Rhinolophus ferrumequinum: one gene and its partner. Each later gene encodes a partner of the first gene's protein in a complex. Links are inferred from orthologs where the notes say so. Each region holds a gene or a part of one and is shown on either strand. Other genes may lie near its edges.

Evidence for each region. The genes of interacting proteins can lie anywhere in the genome.
Region 2: CRCP (region 1) and POLR3K share a complex: the UniProt entries of both Homo sapiens proteins name them as parts of the RNA polymerase III complex. The link is inferred for Rhinolophus ferrumequinum from reciprocal best matches to the Homo sapiens genes CRCP and POLR3K.

What each region holds. Positions count from the first base shown.
Region 1 is NC_046290.1:99,603,562-99,611,082, reverse strand, and holds the start of CRCP (DNA-directed RNA polymerase III subunit RPC9), read left to right. Parts: upstream 1-4,518; 5' UTR 4,519-4,652; coding exon 4,653-4,660; intron 4,661-7,521. UniProt on the Homo sapiens protein: DNA-dependent RNA polymerase catalyzes the transcription of DNA into RNA using the four ribonucleoside triphosphates as substrates.
Region 2 is NW_022680357.1:2,145,603-2,152,843, reverse strand, and holds the start of POLR3K (DNA-directed RNA polymerase III subunit RPC10), read left to right. Parts: upstream 1-4,231; 5' UTR 4,232-4,279; coding exon 4,280-4,390; intron 4,391-6,093; coding exon 6,094-6,181; intron 6,182-7,241. Other genes in the region: RHBDF1 (inactive rhomboid protein 1), read left to right, coding at 1-301; SNRNP25 (U11/U12 small nuclear ribonucleoprotein 25 kDa protein), read right to left, coding at 1,486-1,543, 1,990-2,064, 2,594-2,699, 2,938-3,028, 3,824-3,865. UniProt on the Homo sapiens protein: Core component of RNA polymerase III (Pol III) which synthesizes small non-coding RNAs using the four ribonucleoside triphosphates as substrates. Can mediate Pol I proofreading of the nascent RNA transcript.

The sequences.
Region 1 (7,521 bases):
TTGGTGCCTACAATTTTTCGTCGCTTTTGTGTGGACCATCATCTTAACTGCCATCATTTTTGTTGCCACTCCTGTGTCGTAAGTCTTCAAGTAACACTTGATTTAATGGTAGATTTAAAGGGAATAATATTTTGATCCCCAGACAAGATGAGTGCAAAACAAAAGAGCTATTCCGTCGAGTACAAGAAAGGAATCGTGGGGGACTCCCGGGGCCAGAATCTTAAGGCTTTCTGCAAAGAGAAGAAGTTGGATCTCCGAATGGTTCAAAAATGGCGAGCAGAGTACAATAGCCTCAGTCAACAGGTGTACGAGGGAAACGCTAAGAAGCACAAGTGTGGATCAGGTCAGTAATCATTATTTCCTGAGCTGGAAGACATCATCTGTGAATGGACTGCTGACAGGAGAGCAAAGGCTTTGGTTGTGCACAGGGCTGATATTCAAGCATTTGACCTTGTAGTGGCACCACAGTTAGAAATACCCCAGAAGAATTCAAAGCCTCGCAACACTGGCTGGATGTCTTCCTTCAGCGATATGAACTGTCTCTAAGATCGACAACACTGTTAAAGCTGGAAGATACTGAAGTTATTAAACGTGCACTTGCATTCCAGTCCTTTGTCGATGGCAACAACTTTTATAAATACCAGCTCTCCAACATGATTGTTATGAATGAAACTGCAGTGTTTATGGGCCAAGGATCTCAAATGACAATTGATCAGAGGGGTGCCTCGTCAATCTACATTCCCTCCACTGGTTACAAAAGTGCATGTGTTACCTGTATTTTGGCAATTCTTCTGGGTGGAAAGAAAGCCCCACCTCTAATCGTCACTAAGGGCAAGAAAAATAAGTTTGAACATGTTTCAGGCATTTATGTTCTTGAAACCGAAAAAACCTGGTGCACACAAGCAGTTATAAGGAAGTGGGTCAATTTAATGCTGCCACTGGTTTTGCCAGGTGGCCAAAGAGGTCTGCTAGTCTGGGATTCAGCCAGCACTCACTGCGCTAAAGACATGAAGAACTTCCTTGCAGAGAGAATAGATCAAATAATTATTCCCGCAGGAATGACTGCCTGTCTCCAGACTCTTGATATGGCAATAAACAAGCCATTCAAGGACCATTTGTGTATGGAAATCAATGACTACATTGAAAATAGAATGGAGGGAAATCTGTGGAAACTTTGTGAAGCCTAGCCTGTAAGAGGTCGTGACTTGGGTGAAGAATTCATGGGATAAAATCACTGACAGCTGTGTTACTATTGCACTATGAGCAGGCTACATGGACAAGAAGTGCTCATTTAAGGAGCGCTCTATTGCTGGACATGAGAGATTGGGGCCAATGGTTCTACAGGAAATGGAGTCGCAAGAAATTCAAGCTGCAATTCGGGGTTTGGAGAGTTATGACGATGTTCCAGAAGAAGATGATGACATGACTATATTTGAATAAATGTGGATTTTTGTACATTAATAAATGTAGATTGTTGTACATGAAAAAATAAGACATCCCCTGAAAATAATCCCTAATCTGTTTTTTGGAGCAAAAATTAATATAAGACCGGTCTTATTTTCAGGGAAATACGGTAGATCAAATCCCTGGCATCAGGTAAGCAATAAGTCTTACTCTTCTAGACCTTCCCTGGGTGACTTAACTTGAAGGCTTCATTTCTACTTCAAAAGCTCCATCTCCTGATTTTCTTCTGAGCTCTAGACCTAATAGCTTCAGTGTTCAACAGAACTTTCCACTTGGAAGACATACAGACTTTGCTCAAATTCTGTGCTTTTGTTTATGTATTTGCTACCTCTGCTTAAAGGCCAGTTGTTGAAAAAGAAAAACAAGACACTTACTAGGTTTGTGTGCTTTGGGTGGCAAAGAACAGGGACTCATTAGGCATCCTCAAGTTAGGAAAGCTGCAAGGAGGCCCCGCCTGGGGCCAGTGCAGGTGGGAGTTTCAGCCTTTGATTGTCCCAGCTTGTTGGCTGGGTTAGCTCATCCTGCAGGATCCTTTTGGGCAGCCTTCCCCTGGGAGAGGGTCTCACTCCTGACTACAAAGCTGCTCGTAGGGGATAAGTCAGGTGACTGCATGTGATTCCCAAGGTCTTAGGGTGGCCACCCTTGGAGTACCTGGAGCTCAGCCATTTTATTGTGGGGCCTTCAGAGGCACTAGCCTCTCTTGTATGGAAGCTCATCCCTGCAGTTTTGTGTTTGTGTGCTCCTCCCCTCACCCAGCTCAAACCCCCTGACTTTATGATGCCTCTCCACCTCATTAGTCATTTCCTCCTCTGCTCCTTGTGTTTAAACACAACATATTGTAGTTATCGATATCCAGAGCTGGTTCCCAGACTAGGCTGTCAGCCAGGCAAGAAGTATACATTGTTCACATTTGTTTCACCACCGCCACTGTTTGCTGAGTACAGAACACATGTGTGTCTTTAGCACTGCTGGGGCCTGGGGTGGCATTTTATTAAAAAAAAATTTTAAGTAAATTAGTGTTTTTTAAAATAATATTTTTATAATTTAAAAATAACATGTACATTGAAAAATATTTTAAAAATTCTGAATGTGTAAAGTTAAATGTTAAAAATTCCCCTCAGTTCTCTTCTAATCCAATACCCATAGGCAAACACCAGTAAAACATTTTTTAACAGCTTTGTGGATATTCAATATTCGATTCAGATACCATGCAATTTGCCCACTTAAAGTCTACAAGTCAGTGTTTTTTTTAAGTATATTTATAGGGGTATGCAACTATTACTACAACCTAATTTTAGGACATCACTGTTTCCCCCAAAGAAACTCTGTATCTATTAACTGTCACTTAGCATTGCCTCCCCTCTCCCAGCCCTAAGCCATCAGTGATCAGTGATTAACTTTCTGTCTTTATAAATTTGCCTATTGTTGGACATTTCATATAAATGGGATCATAAAACATCTGGTCTTTTCTGTCTGGCTTCTTCCACTTAGTATGTTTTTGAGGGTCATCCATGTAGTAGCATGTATCAGTAACTCCATTCCTTTTATTGCTAAATATAGCATTGCATTGAATTAATATAGCACATTTTATTTATCCAATCATCAGTCACTATTAACAATTAAATACAATTCCTGTATTTGTTCAGATTCCCTGGGTTTGAATCCCTGCTGGGCAAGTTCTTAGATGAGTGATCTTGGGTGAATTGCAATCTCTCTAAGCCTGCCTCTATTTCCTCAATAATAAAATTTGAATAATGATGGGATTGACCTCATATAGTGTTATGGTTGTATTGTCACAGTAATTAATATTTGTTGAGCCCTTACTACATGCCAGGTACATTATAAGGATTACCTAACGGATCTATGATTTTCAGATTAGGGAATTGAGGTTAGGAGACGGTATGTCATCTCTCAAGGTCAAACAGTCCCTAAGAAAATGATGGAGGTAAACAGAATCACAGGCTCTCTGACTATAAAGCCTGCACAATTAACTGTTAATATCATGGAATAGCAAAGTGCTTAGCAAGGGCCTTACGAAGAGAATGAGTTTAGTAAATGATAACTAATAGAACTATAAAAAAGAAAAAAATAGCAATTGACTCATCATCTAAGGACACGTTCCACTGTTAATATTTTGGCACATTTCCATCCGGTCTTTAGGAAATATTTCAGATATATTAAAAAAAATCCAGAAAATAATAGACATCAACCTCCAACCCGTTTTGTATTCGTGCTGCCGAAGCGAGCACAACCTCCAACCCGTTTTTTTCCCTAAAAGGCTTGAAATGTGGTAGATTAGGTTGCTTTACCTCCCAAACCCTTATTTTTTCCTACGTATGCATTATTTTTCCTTAGGTTAGGGTCACACCACATCATTTTCTATCTTTAAAAAAACCCTATCTTGAGCATTTCCCCAGGGTACCAAATATGCTACATAACCTGTCATGGCCGCATGTTATACTATATGACTGAAACATGATTTATTAATTCCCCAGTGTTGGGCATTTAGACCATCTCCGAGTCAAAACATCACTACACGTTCATCTTTCTTAAAGCACCTGGTAATTGCCTTTGGTAAGTTCCTAGAAAGGCCGGAAGATCAGACTGTGCTTGACGGTAAGGCTCTTTATGCGTACTTTTCTTTTTTTGCCAAGTCGTTCTCAAGGAAGAATGGAAAGAGGGAGAAGGAAGGATGGGATTTTTTTCCCTTTTAAAATGTCTTATCCAATTAAAACATATATACACAAAAGTGGACATAAGTGTACAGCTCACTGAATTTTCAAAAACTGAACACACCGCGTACCCAGCACTCAGATCATGAAAAGATTATTTCCAGCAGCCCAAAGCCGCCTCACCCCCTCACCGTAACGTGTCCGAGGGGTACGATTTTAACGTCGCAAAGGTTTACTAATGCGGTGACGTCTTTGAAATCTTAACATGAGCTAAGTTCTGTGTGCAAACGCTTCACAGGCTGACGTCAGGCTGGGCGAATGGCACCTACACCTGAAAGAGAGCGCAGCCGCCCGTAAGGCTGCACCGCCCGGTCCGCCGGGCTCCCGGCGTGCAGCGCGGCGCTCCCGGCGTGCCCCGCGGCGCGCGGAGCGGGCGACCTGGCGTTCGACGCCGGCGGCCGTGAGGTTTGAGGTCGTGTGTGTGCTGGCGGCCGGAGGCGACGAGGCGGGGTCGGCATGGAAGTGTAAGCTGCCCGGGGCGCGTTTCCGGCTGTGGGCCGAGGCTCCTGGCGAGGGACGGCTGCATGCTGGGGGCCGAGAGGCGGGGACACCGGGCGACCCCCAGCCCGGGCTTGTGGGAAGAGTGACGCGGCGGAGGCGGGGAAGAAAGAGCCTCGCTTTGCCCTTCTGAACCTCCGCCCGCACTCCCACCCGGTGCCTAGGACTGGGGCCAAGTGCCTTTCACGGTGGCTGCCTCCTCCGTTATTCATTTACTAGCGTCTTCTAAGTCACAGTAGGGAGTCCGGCCGGGTGTCCGAGCGGGAACTCAGAAGGTAGAAAGCCTGGAGTCCGCCCTGGAAGTACCTACGGGACAGACGGATAAACTGTCCGAGGCAGTGGGCTCCTGGGCGGCCCTGACTCAGAAGTGCCACCCGAGTTTGATGAGGAGCAGTTAACCCTGGGAGGGAAGAGGCGAGTTTTCTGGGAAGAAGAAAGTGCTTGAGCCTGGATTGTAACCACGGAAAGAGCCGAGGAGAGAGAGAGAGAGGGAGGGAGGGAGGGAGGAAGGAACAGCCATTCTGACAGTTTAACTCCACCTGGTCTTTTTCATGTTTGCTCATTGTACTACATGCAAATGGAGCTTTTGCAGCTACTCTGCATGTGTGTTTTCACATGGTTGACATTAATTCGTACGCATACCTATATTGTGTCATCTTTGGCACTGATTATTTAATACATTTTTCTTTACGTTCTTTTGCCTCATGTTTAATGGTTATATATACTACTATTGTTCAAACTTAAAAAAAACACACAATACGTATATGTACCTTAAGTGAAAACTTAATGAAACAACACCTACCGTATGCAGTACACTTTGATATTGTCAAAACTACTGAAAAAGAGTCAGGAAGCTCTGGCTAGAAATAAATGAATAAAAATATTTAAATAAAAAGATTTATTCAAGGGTCTTAAGAGTTTGCTAAGTGGAAGCACAGCTAGGCAAAACTCTCAAGAAGTGTTCCGAAGAAGAAAGAAAAGTTGAGTTCTTGTAGTAAAAGTTATATCCTTGAGAATAAACAGTCCTGCATTTTAGGGCCTCTGATTGGTTGAGGACAGTTATCAGTCAGATGTCAGGTGGTCTGGATGATGAATGCCCATGGTCTGGAGGATGAGTGCCAGGAGGTCTGTTCTGAGTCCTTAGGAGTAGTCAGAGGGTTATCTGCAGGTTTGATGTATGTCTGGGCATTGACACTCAACAGACTGGTATATATCTAGGTATTGATGCAGGACTAGAAAGTTCCAAAGTTTCAGGTCCGGGGCTAGTTAAGAAAAGACAAAGAATCGTTTCCTCATACTTCAACCTTCATAATGTTAATAATTTAGCAGCTTGGTTAAAGTGACTCCATTTTATATTTTCCCCATCTTCATTCTTTCCTCAGTTTCTACTCATTTATTAAAAATGAATGTTGACCCTCTAAATTGATTTCGCTATTCACTAACGGGGTTTAATCTGCAACTGGAAAAATGTTCGTATTACTCTACCTCAAACCATCATTATCAATTTCCCCGTTTACTAGAGCATTTCCTGTCAGCATACAAACCTGCTTTAATTTATCTATATTAAAAACTTCCTTGTTTCCACATTCATGTCCACTTACTGCTCCATTTCTGCTTCCCATCATTCCTGTCACAACAAAACTTAGAAGTGTTGTGTATCCCCTCATTCACTCAATCATTCTGTTCGGCTTTAATCCTCACCAGTCTACAGAAATGGGTCTGTGAAGATCACCTGAGCCCTCCGTGTTGTCACTTCCAAAGGCTGATTTTCTGGCCTTAACTCTCTTGATCTCTTAGCAACAGTTGGTACAGAAACTAGAAACTCTCTTGGCTTTCTGACATGCTTACCTGGATTTCCTCCTGAAGACTTTCTCAGTCTCCTTTCCTGGCTCCCCCTTCCTCCCTTTCTTGGCTTCTAAATGTTGAGGTATCTTACGACTCATACTGGGACCCTTTTTCTCCACACTGTCTCCCCTGGTCATTGTACCCATCTATATGCTGATGATTCCCAAAAGTACATTTCTAGCCCTTTCCCCTCATCATTCATCCAGTTGCTTAGACCAAAAATCTAGCTTTTTTTTTTAAGGAGGTCGCAGTTCACAGTGGCCCATGTGGGGATCGAACCAGCAATCTTGGTATTATTAGCACCATGCTCTAACCAACTGAGCTCACTGGCCACCCCAAGAATCTAGCCTTTTTTCCTCACCCCTAAATCCAGTCCATCAGCCAGTTCTGTCATCTCCACTTTCAGAGTATATTTTAATGTAGTTGCTTCTAACCATGTGCAATACTAATTTTCTACTCCAACTCTGATCTGGATTAAGCAGTAGCCTTTTTTTAAATTAGTTTCAGGTGTACAAAACAATGTAATAGTTAGACATTTATCATTTATATCCCTCACAAAGTGACAACCCCCCTCCCCCCATCCACTACCCCTCTGACATCGCACAGAGCCATTACATTTCCACTGTCTCCATTCCTAATGCTGTACTCCACTTCTTGTATGTATATACATACATATAAATATATATATATATATACATATATATATATATATATATATATAAACTTGTAGTTGACATTCATTATTGTTCAGCTTCAGCTTCAGGTATACAGTGCAGTGATCAGGCATCTACATCATCCCTGAGGTGGTCTCCCTAATGAGACAAGTGTCCATCGGCTTCTCTATAAAATCTTTACATTATTGATTACATTCCCTAAACTTACTTTCCTATCCCCGTGGCCCTCTTGTGGTTACCACCTGCTTTCTAATCCCCCTCACCTTCCCCCTTATCCCTCCCCCATGTAGCAACCCTCAGGTTTTCCT
Region 2 (7,241 bases), on another chromosome or scaffold:
CTTCCTGTTCACATTTGGGCTGCTGCCCTGGATCGACAACTTCGCCCACATCTCGGGCTTCGTCAGCGGCCTCTTCCTGTCCTTCGCCTTCTTGCCCTACGTCAGCTTCGGCAGGTTCGACCTGTACCGCAAGCGCTGCCAGATCCTCATCTTCCAGGCCGTGTTCCTGGGCCTGCTGGCCGGCCTGGTGGTCCTCTTCTACTTCTACCCCGTGCGCTGTGAGTGGTGTGAGTTCCTCACCTGCATCCCCTTCACCGACAAGTTCTGCGAGAAGTACGAGCTGGACGCCCAGCTCCACTGAGCTGCTGGCCACTGGGGCCACCTGCTCCCGGGCGCCGTCCACCCCGAGCCTTGCAGGCCACGGACGGGGCTGCCTGAGCCCCGTGTGGGGTTCTCAGGCCACGGACGGGGCTGCCTGAGCCCCGTGTGGGGTCCGTAGGCCACGGACAGGGCTGCCTGAGCCCTGTGTGGGGTCCGCCCGCGTCTTGGACACAGACCTCTTGTGCCTTGTTCACTGCTGTTGACCCTCTCGTACTTCTGGGCATTTATTACACTAGTTCCCGTGATTCCCTTCTAACTAGTCTCTTGACGACCACCTCAGGTGGCCAATAAATGGACTGGGAGCGTTTTAGCTGCCACTAACTTGACCAGAGCTGCCTTCTGCTTTCTCGTTCCTGGCTGGGGGCTGTGGCGGGACGTTCCTCTCACTCACAATTCCCCAGACAAGGAACGAAGTATACAAAACACCTCCCAGGGAAGTCCCTCAGCCAGGTTGCACCCCCTGCCCCCAGCTCCCTTCCTAGTTACCGGTAGCCACAATGGGATACAGACCCAGGGATGTGCTGTCATTTCTCCCCCCCACACACACTGAGAAGCGCCCTCCCTGCTCAGCCAGCAGTTCCAGCTGCTGCCCCAGGCCCCTCCATTTCCGGGAGCCAGGGGATGGCACCGCTGTACAGTCCTGCGGGCCAAGGCGGGAGGCCCTGCCGACGGCTGTGCTCTCACACACAGGCCCGTTTGTTTCTGCACAAGTAGAAGAGAAAGCCAGCTGCGTGTGGGGGACACACATTTATTTCCTCCTGGCCGTGGGGGACACAGTAATGGTCAGGTGGCCTCCGCAGCCCTCAGGACGCACCGGCCCCATTCTCTGCCCTTGCCTCCTGGGATGCCGCAGTGCCCGTCCCTCCTGCCGGGACCGTGGCTTGTGGACTTTTCCAGGTCAGAAGCAGAGAGGTTTATGCTGTACTCAGGGCCTGGCCCACAGCCCTGTGGCATCTGCCACGAGATGAGGGTGTTTGGGCTCAGGGAGGGGTCAAGCTCAGGTCACGAGCACTGGCTCGTCAGGTCCTAGTCCTGAGGGCCCAGGCTTCAGACAAGTCCACCTGTGCTCACTTTGACATTCTCCTGTGACAAGGGGACAGTGGCCCGAAGCTGCTTCCTGCTGGGCAGAGCTTGTCACCGGCACAGTTGTCCTCGTCCAGGGGTTCATTTTTGCCTCAGCTTTTTGATGAAAGACACCTCGTCCCGATTCCGGATACCATAACTGAAAGAGAAGGAAAGGTGTCAAGTGTCTGATCTCCAGAAGGGTACATCCAGGACTCCTCACCTGAGGCTGGTGAAAAACCAAGAAAGAACAGGTGGGAAGAGTGTGGCATCCAGGAGGGGGCAGTGGCCACACGTACCAGGGGGCAGCCTTTCACCTCCATGCACTCTTTCTCCCCTCTTCTGCCTCTGTGCTGCCCTGAACTGCCACTGGTGAGAAGCAGTAGGGCCCCTCACCCCTCTCCTCCACCCGCATTCTCCTCGTGGGGGCCCCCAGCGGGAGGCGTCAGCACAGCCAGGGTCCTCTGTAGGTCTCACAGAGTCCTCAGGAACTGACTGAGGATCCCTCCTTCCTGGGAGGGGGCCCCAGCCGTCTGGCAGAGCATGTGTAACCAGACGGCACCGCCCAAATGCCTGCCTGTAGCTCAACATGTGGCCTGGACTTACTCTCGGAGCTTCTTCCTGTCCTCTGTGAGCTTCTCTCCTGCAGAGGTCAGATGGTACGTTCTCCACACGTAGGGCCTGCAAGGTAGGGTTTCAGGTAAACCGTGAGCAGGGTGAGTGGAGCAGCTGGGATGCAGACGCTGTGACTGAGAGCGGCTCACGGTGCTCAGCTCTGTGGGCCCGGGGCAGCCGGCCGCCTCTTCTGGGCTGTTTCCTGTACACTGTGCACTGTGCCTGAGGCGGCTACAAGGAGGCCCGGCTCTATGAGGGCCGTGTGGGCCATGCAAGGGAGGAGAAGAACATCCAGGAGAAGTCCTGGATGTACCGTCTGTAACTAGGAGACCACTTCTGGACACATCACACATGCCCTAAGGTGTCCCTAAGTACAGATACCAGCTGCCTAGGTGGGGTGATGCAGATGAAAGAGCAGGTGATGCAGGACTCCCAGGCACAGAAGCACCTGCCCTGTCTGAAAGCTCCGGGCAGGGAGCGCATCACTTTAGTCAGTACTTTGTAACAGGGCTCAGTGACTAAAAAGCACACGGAGTCCTGTGGAGTCCCAGTCCAGCTCCCAGGAGGGGATGCAAAGAGCCTTGGCGCCACTTACCAGCTGATGTGTTGAATGCCGCCTTCCCGCTCCTGCCTGAGCTGCACGTATCTCTGGATGGCTTTCTTCAGGTCCAGGACTGTGGCATTCTGTACCACGACCACAGCTGCAACCAGGGACACAAAAGGGAGAAGATCCATGGTGGGAAGCCCCAGCCACAGCCTCAGGTGGGGGGAGAGGAACCCAGAAGCCCTGTCAAGCCTTGTTTCTGACCGAGGCTCAAATCTGGGTGGGTGGGCTTGTGGTTGCCCCAACACCCATGGGCATGGCCCCTGAGTGTCCCACTGACCAGCCCCTGTGAAAGCTCAGATTGCACGGCCTGAAGGGAGGAGGGCAGCACTTACGCATGACTTCTCCATCCATCTTGCACACTCGGACTGTCATTGCTTGGCCATACTCTAGGGCTATTTGGGAATTGACCTCTTCCAAAGTAACCTAGAAAAGACCAAGGGGGGAGGTGGGAGCCCTGGCTTTACCACCCCAAAACGACAACAAAGAAAAACAAGGTGGTACTGTCCAAAGAGTGGTGCAACGTTATATGAAAGATGAGAAAGGGAAAGGGTTCTTACTTATATATCAGGGTTTCCCAGTCCAGCACCTCAATCTCATGTGCCACCCACATTTCCCATTTAAAGTCCAAAGCGGACAGAGGCTCTGGAGAAAGGAGCACAGGAACAGGCAAGAAGGATGGATCCTTTCATCCAGGGGCTGGGTAGGAAGAAGAACCCTGGGCCTGCCCGTGCGTTCTGGGAGCCTCTGATCACCAGGATCCAAGCCCGGGCCTCTGGAGAAGGTTGAGGCACGTGTGCGATGATACACGTTGCCAATACAACTTTTAAGAAAATACAAGTTAACTTGAAAACTCCATGATGGACCAAAGAATACTGAAGCTTGAGAAGGGAAAAAACCGGCACTAACGATCTCGTCCTTCTTTTGTTGGCGATAGGTTTTACACCAACTTTGTGTTATGAACGTATTAAAATATTATTTTATTTATTTATTTATTTATTTATTGATTGATTTATTTATTTTGGCGCTTCTTTAATTTCCGCGCCCCACGGGAGAGCCCCGCTCGCCCCGCCCCAGGCTCGGCCCTGGTTAAGACCCTCATTTACGCCCAGAGGTGCCTTCCTGAGGCCTTTGGGCCACAGCCCCCATCAGCACCGCGCGGGATCCACACCCGACGAACGTCCCGGCGGGGCACGACGCCTGCACCCTGCCCGCGCGCACCTGGATCGGGAGATCGCAGAGCAGTGGGTCCTGCACCACCATGGCGAGACCCTCCTGGAACACGTCCACCGCCTCGGAGTGCGGCAGCGCCTCCTCTTCGTCCTCATCGTCGTCCTGCGCCTCGGGCTGTGCCGCCGCCTCCGCCGCCTCCAGGGCGCCTCGCTGCCGAGCGCGCTCCGCCCGCACCGTCCGTCTGCAAGACCGAGGCGCGGCGCTTTCGCCCGCGGAGCAAAACCCGCAGTCAGTTCCGACATTAGGGCGTCGATTGGCTGCCGCGAGGACCAATGAGAAGTGCGAGATGGCCTGCCGCGGTGCTCGCTGGGAGCGCGACATCGGCGTGTCTATTGGTGGGCTAAGGTGGCCAGGACCAATAGGAGCTCGAGGCGGGCGGGCATAGTGTCGGCTCCTGGGCGGCCGCGGGGGCTGCCGGGAGCCTGCGGGGCTGAGTCCGCCGTCATGCTGCTTTTCTGCCCCGGCTGCGGGAACGGGCTGATCGTGGAGGAGGGACAGCGCTGCCACCGTTTCGCCTGCAACACCTGCCCCTACGTGCACAACATCACCCGCAAGGTGGGTCCTGGAGCCCGGCGTCGGGCCCCCGCAGGCCTCCCGCTTCCTCCGGCTGTGCTCCACCCCTGTCAGGACGCAAGGTGGAGGCCCTGGCCGTGGTCACCGCCGAGGCCACAGCGGTCCTTGTAACGCCGAAGTCAGATCGAGTCCGTCTTGCGCTCGGTAACGCTCAGCAGTTCGCCAGCGTGAAATGTGCTCGCGGGGCAGACCGAGCGTTGACACCACGCCCCTCCCCCCAGCCTTGCTTTTCTGATGTCAGAAAAGGGGCTCTTTTGCCCCAGAAACACCAGCCTCTTGGAGGATCCCCCCTGATGGACGTGGCATTACTAGCAGCGCCTTTGCCCACGTTTCCTGTCCGGTCCAGACTTCCCCTAAGACAGCCGTGCCACTCTTTTGTCACGTCGTCACTTAAATCATCACTCAGTGTAAAATTGCAGCCCTTCCGTTTTATCCTCTTTCCCGGTTTTGGTTTTTCTCTAGGACTCCTTACCTTCTAATAACACGGTATAATTTACTTACGTGCTTTGTTTACCGAAGCCGAGACCTAAGCTGTAGGAGGGCAGGGCTCTTTCTGTTTTGTTCCCTCTTGTGTGCTAGTCGGAACGCCGAGGATGGAACTGAGGATGTGGAGGTGTTCACTGCGGTGAATTGTGCTCACGGTGTTAGGACTCGGTATTTTCCCCTTGATCTTTTGTGGGGACAGAGCCCCAAAAAGCAGTTTCCAGGCTCTCGGCCTCACATAGCAAGGTGCTGGCTCAGGTAGTAAATGGCCATCGACTGATCAAATGGCCATCAGCTGTGGCTAGTTGGCCGTCAGCTGTAACCAGTGAGCCATTGGGCACTAATATAACTGCCGTGGCTAGGCTAACAGAAATGGGGGCTAGCGAGAAGATGGTGGCTGAGCCAGCAAGTGGAGCAGTGAGGGTTGAGACTTGTGTTGCTCCTGGTTTCCTGTGTCTCCAACCCAGCCGCCAGTGAGAATATAGTGGTGTGACTCCCCTACCTATGGCTCCGTGGGTGTTCCTTTTTGGCCTCACTATGTCCTGCGTTCTTATGTGGGGAGTGGGACCAGAGACCCCGCCTGACACCCTGCACGACATCTTTACTCTTTAGAAGTAGAGCCCCTTGGGGCCACCCCGTTCTGAGTGTTTGTGTACTGCACCATATTGCTGTGTTGTGGGAGTTTAGAGTCTGGATCTATGAGAAGAGTGAACTCTTACGTAAGCCTGACATTTCAAGGATGTCGGGTAAAACTTGGGAAAGAAACTGAGTGCTTTGAAAGCTCTCTGCCTGCGGGGAGCGGCTGGGCTCCCCAGCTGGTACTCTTTGGCTTCAGGTGTATTTGTTTCTCACATCTTGGGTTAGGCGGTGGTATCTTAGAGATATGGGCGTAGAGGAGGGTCACACCTAAGCCATCGTGTCTTCCTGCTCTGGTGTTTCATTCAATCCTTGCAGAGATCTTCTCTGACGGCTGAATCTCTCTCTTCTCTTGTGGGGGCATCCCAATCGTAGGTTCTTTAAATTCCAGTGGTGCGTCCTGCTCTGTGGTAGCGGGAACACTGTTTTCGTTTAGTCTCCCTGCTGGCTGGGAGGAAGACAGTCTGGGAAGACACTTGAGGGCAGCTGTGGAGGTGTGGTTTGGTGGCCCACGGTTGCACTGTTCACTGACTTGGAGAGTCTGAAGGCTTGCTGTTGTTTGTTAGGTAACAAATCGGAAGTATCCAAAGCTCAAAGAAGTGGATGATGTGCTTGGTGGAGCAGCTGCCTGGGAGAATGTTGACTCTACTGCAGGTAAGAGGGAAAGCCTTCTGTAACTGAGCGGTGGGTAAGTATGAAGCCACTGGCTGCTGCTCCGTGGCAGTCGGTGATGTATTTAGAAAGTGTGTTTGCGCTTTAAGAACTTACTTGTTAACTCCAATGATATTGGCACAAGCCTTGGAGTCGTGCAGTCCTGAGTTAAAGTCTCGGGGTGACTTCTTACTGTTTTATGACCTTGCTGGGGTCCCTGAAGCGCTCCAGGGCTAATCCACACTCATAGGTTGTGAGAGCACCCAAGTGAGTTATAGTGTTTCGCATATAACAGGCAATTCTACAGGCGGTAGCTACGATAGCTACAAGGTCAGGAATAATACAAATCAGAGTCGCGGGAAATAAATGTGGTGGTCTTGTTCTCATGCGGCGTGTTAAACGTTAATACCAGAGAGCACCTAACTGCAGTCTCAGTAAAATAAATGTTTCTTTCAAGTCTTGATTCGTTTCTGATAGACATAGATGTGACCAAGGAAGGGCAGAGCAGAGCCCTAGACAACCTGCGCCGAGGGGAGGAACAGCGAAGTAAGATTAGTGCCATTGCTCTGCCTCTCTGGACCGGTACCCAGATCCGCCACGTGAACAATTTAGCAAAGGCAGAAGTTGTCATTAAAAGCTAAGTTATGCCCCGAATGTCCAAAATGGTGTTTGAGAATTTTTGAAGGTGTTTCCATCAAGAGCAGGGTTAGTGTCGCAAAGTAAAAACCTTTGAAGGTAAATGTGTCCTGGGGTCCTCGGAAAAGGTACGTATGTGTGGTGAGATCTTGATAAAAGCAGCCTGAGGAGCTACTGCCAAATAGACCCCTAAATACTCGGGGAAGCCGATTGGTCAGCCCTTGGCAGCTCCTCTGGGAAGAAGAGAGGGCGTCTCCACGTCCCAGGTGATGGAGATGAATTTGTTAGGGGAAGTCTGCACGGCGTGGGCCCCGTAATTCACACAGCAGCCGTGTTACGTTTCCAACCAGTCTTCTACCAGGTTTGAGAAAAACAGTGAGAAAAAACAGTTTGAGAAAAACAGGGCGGGGAGGAGAGTGTTTCCAAG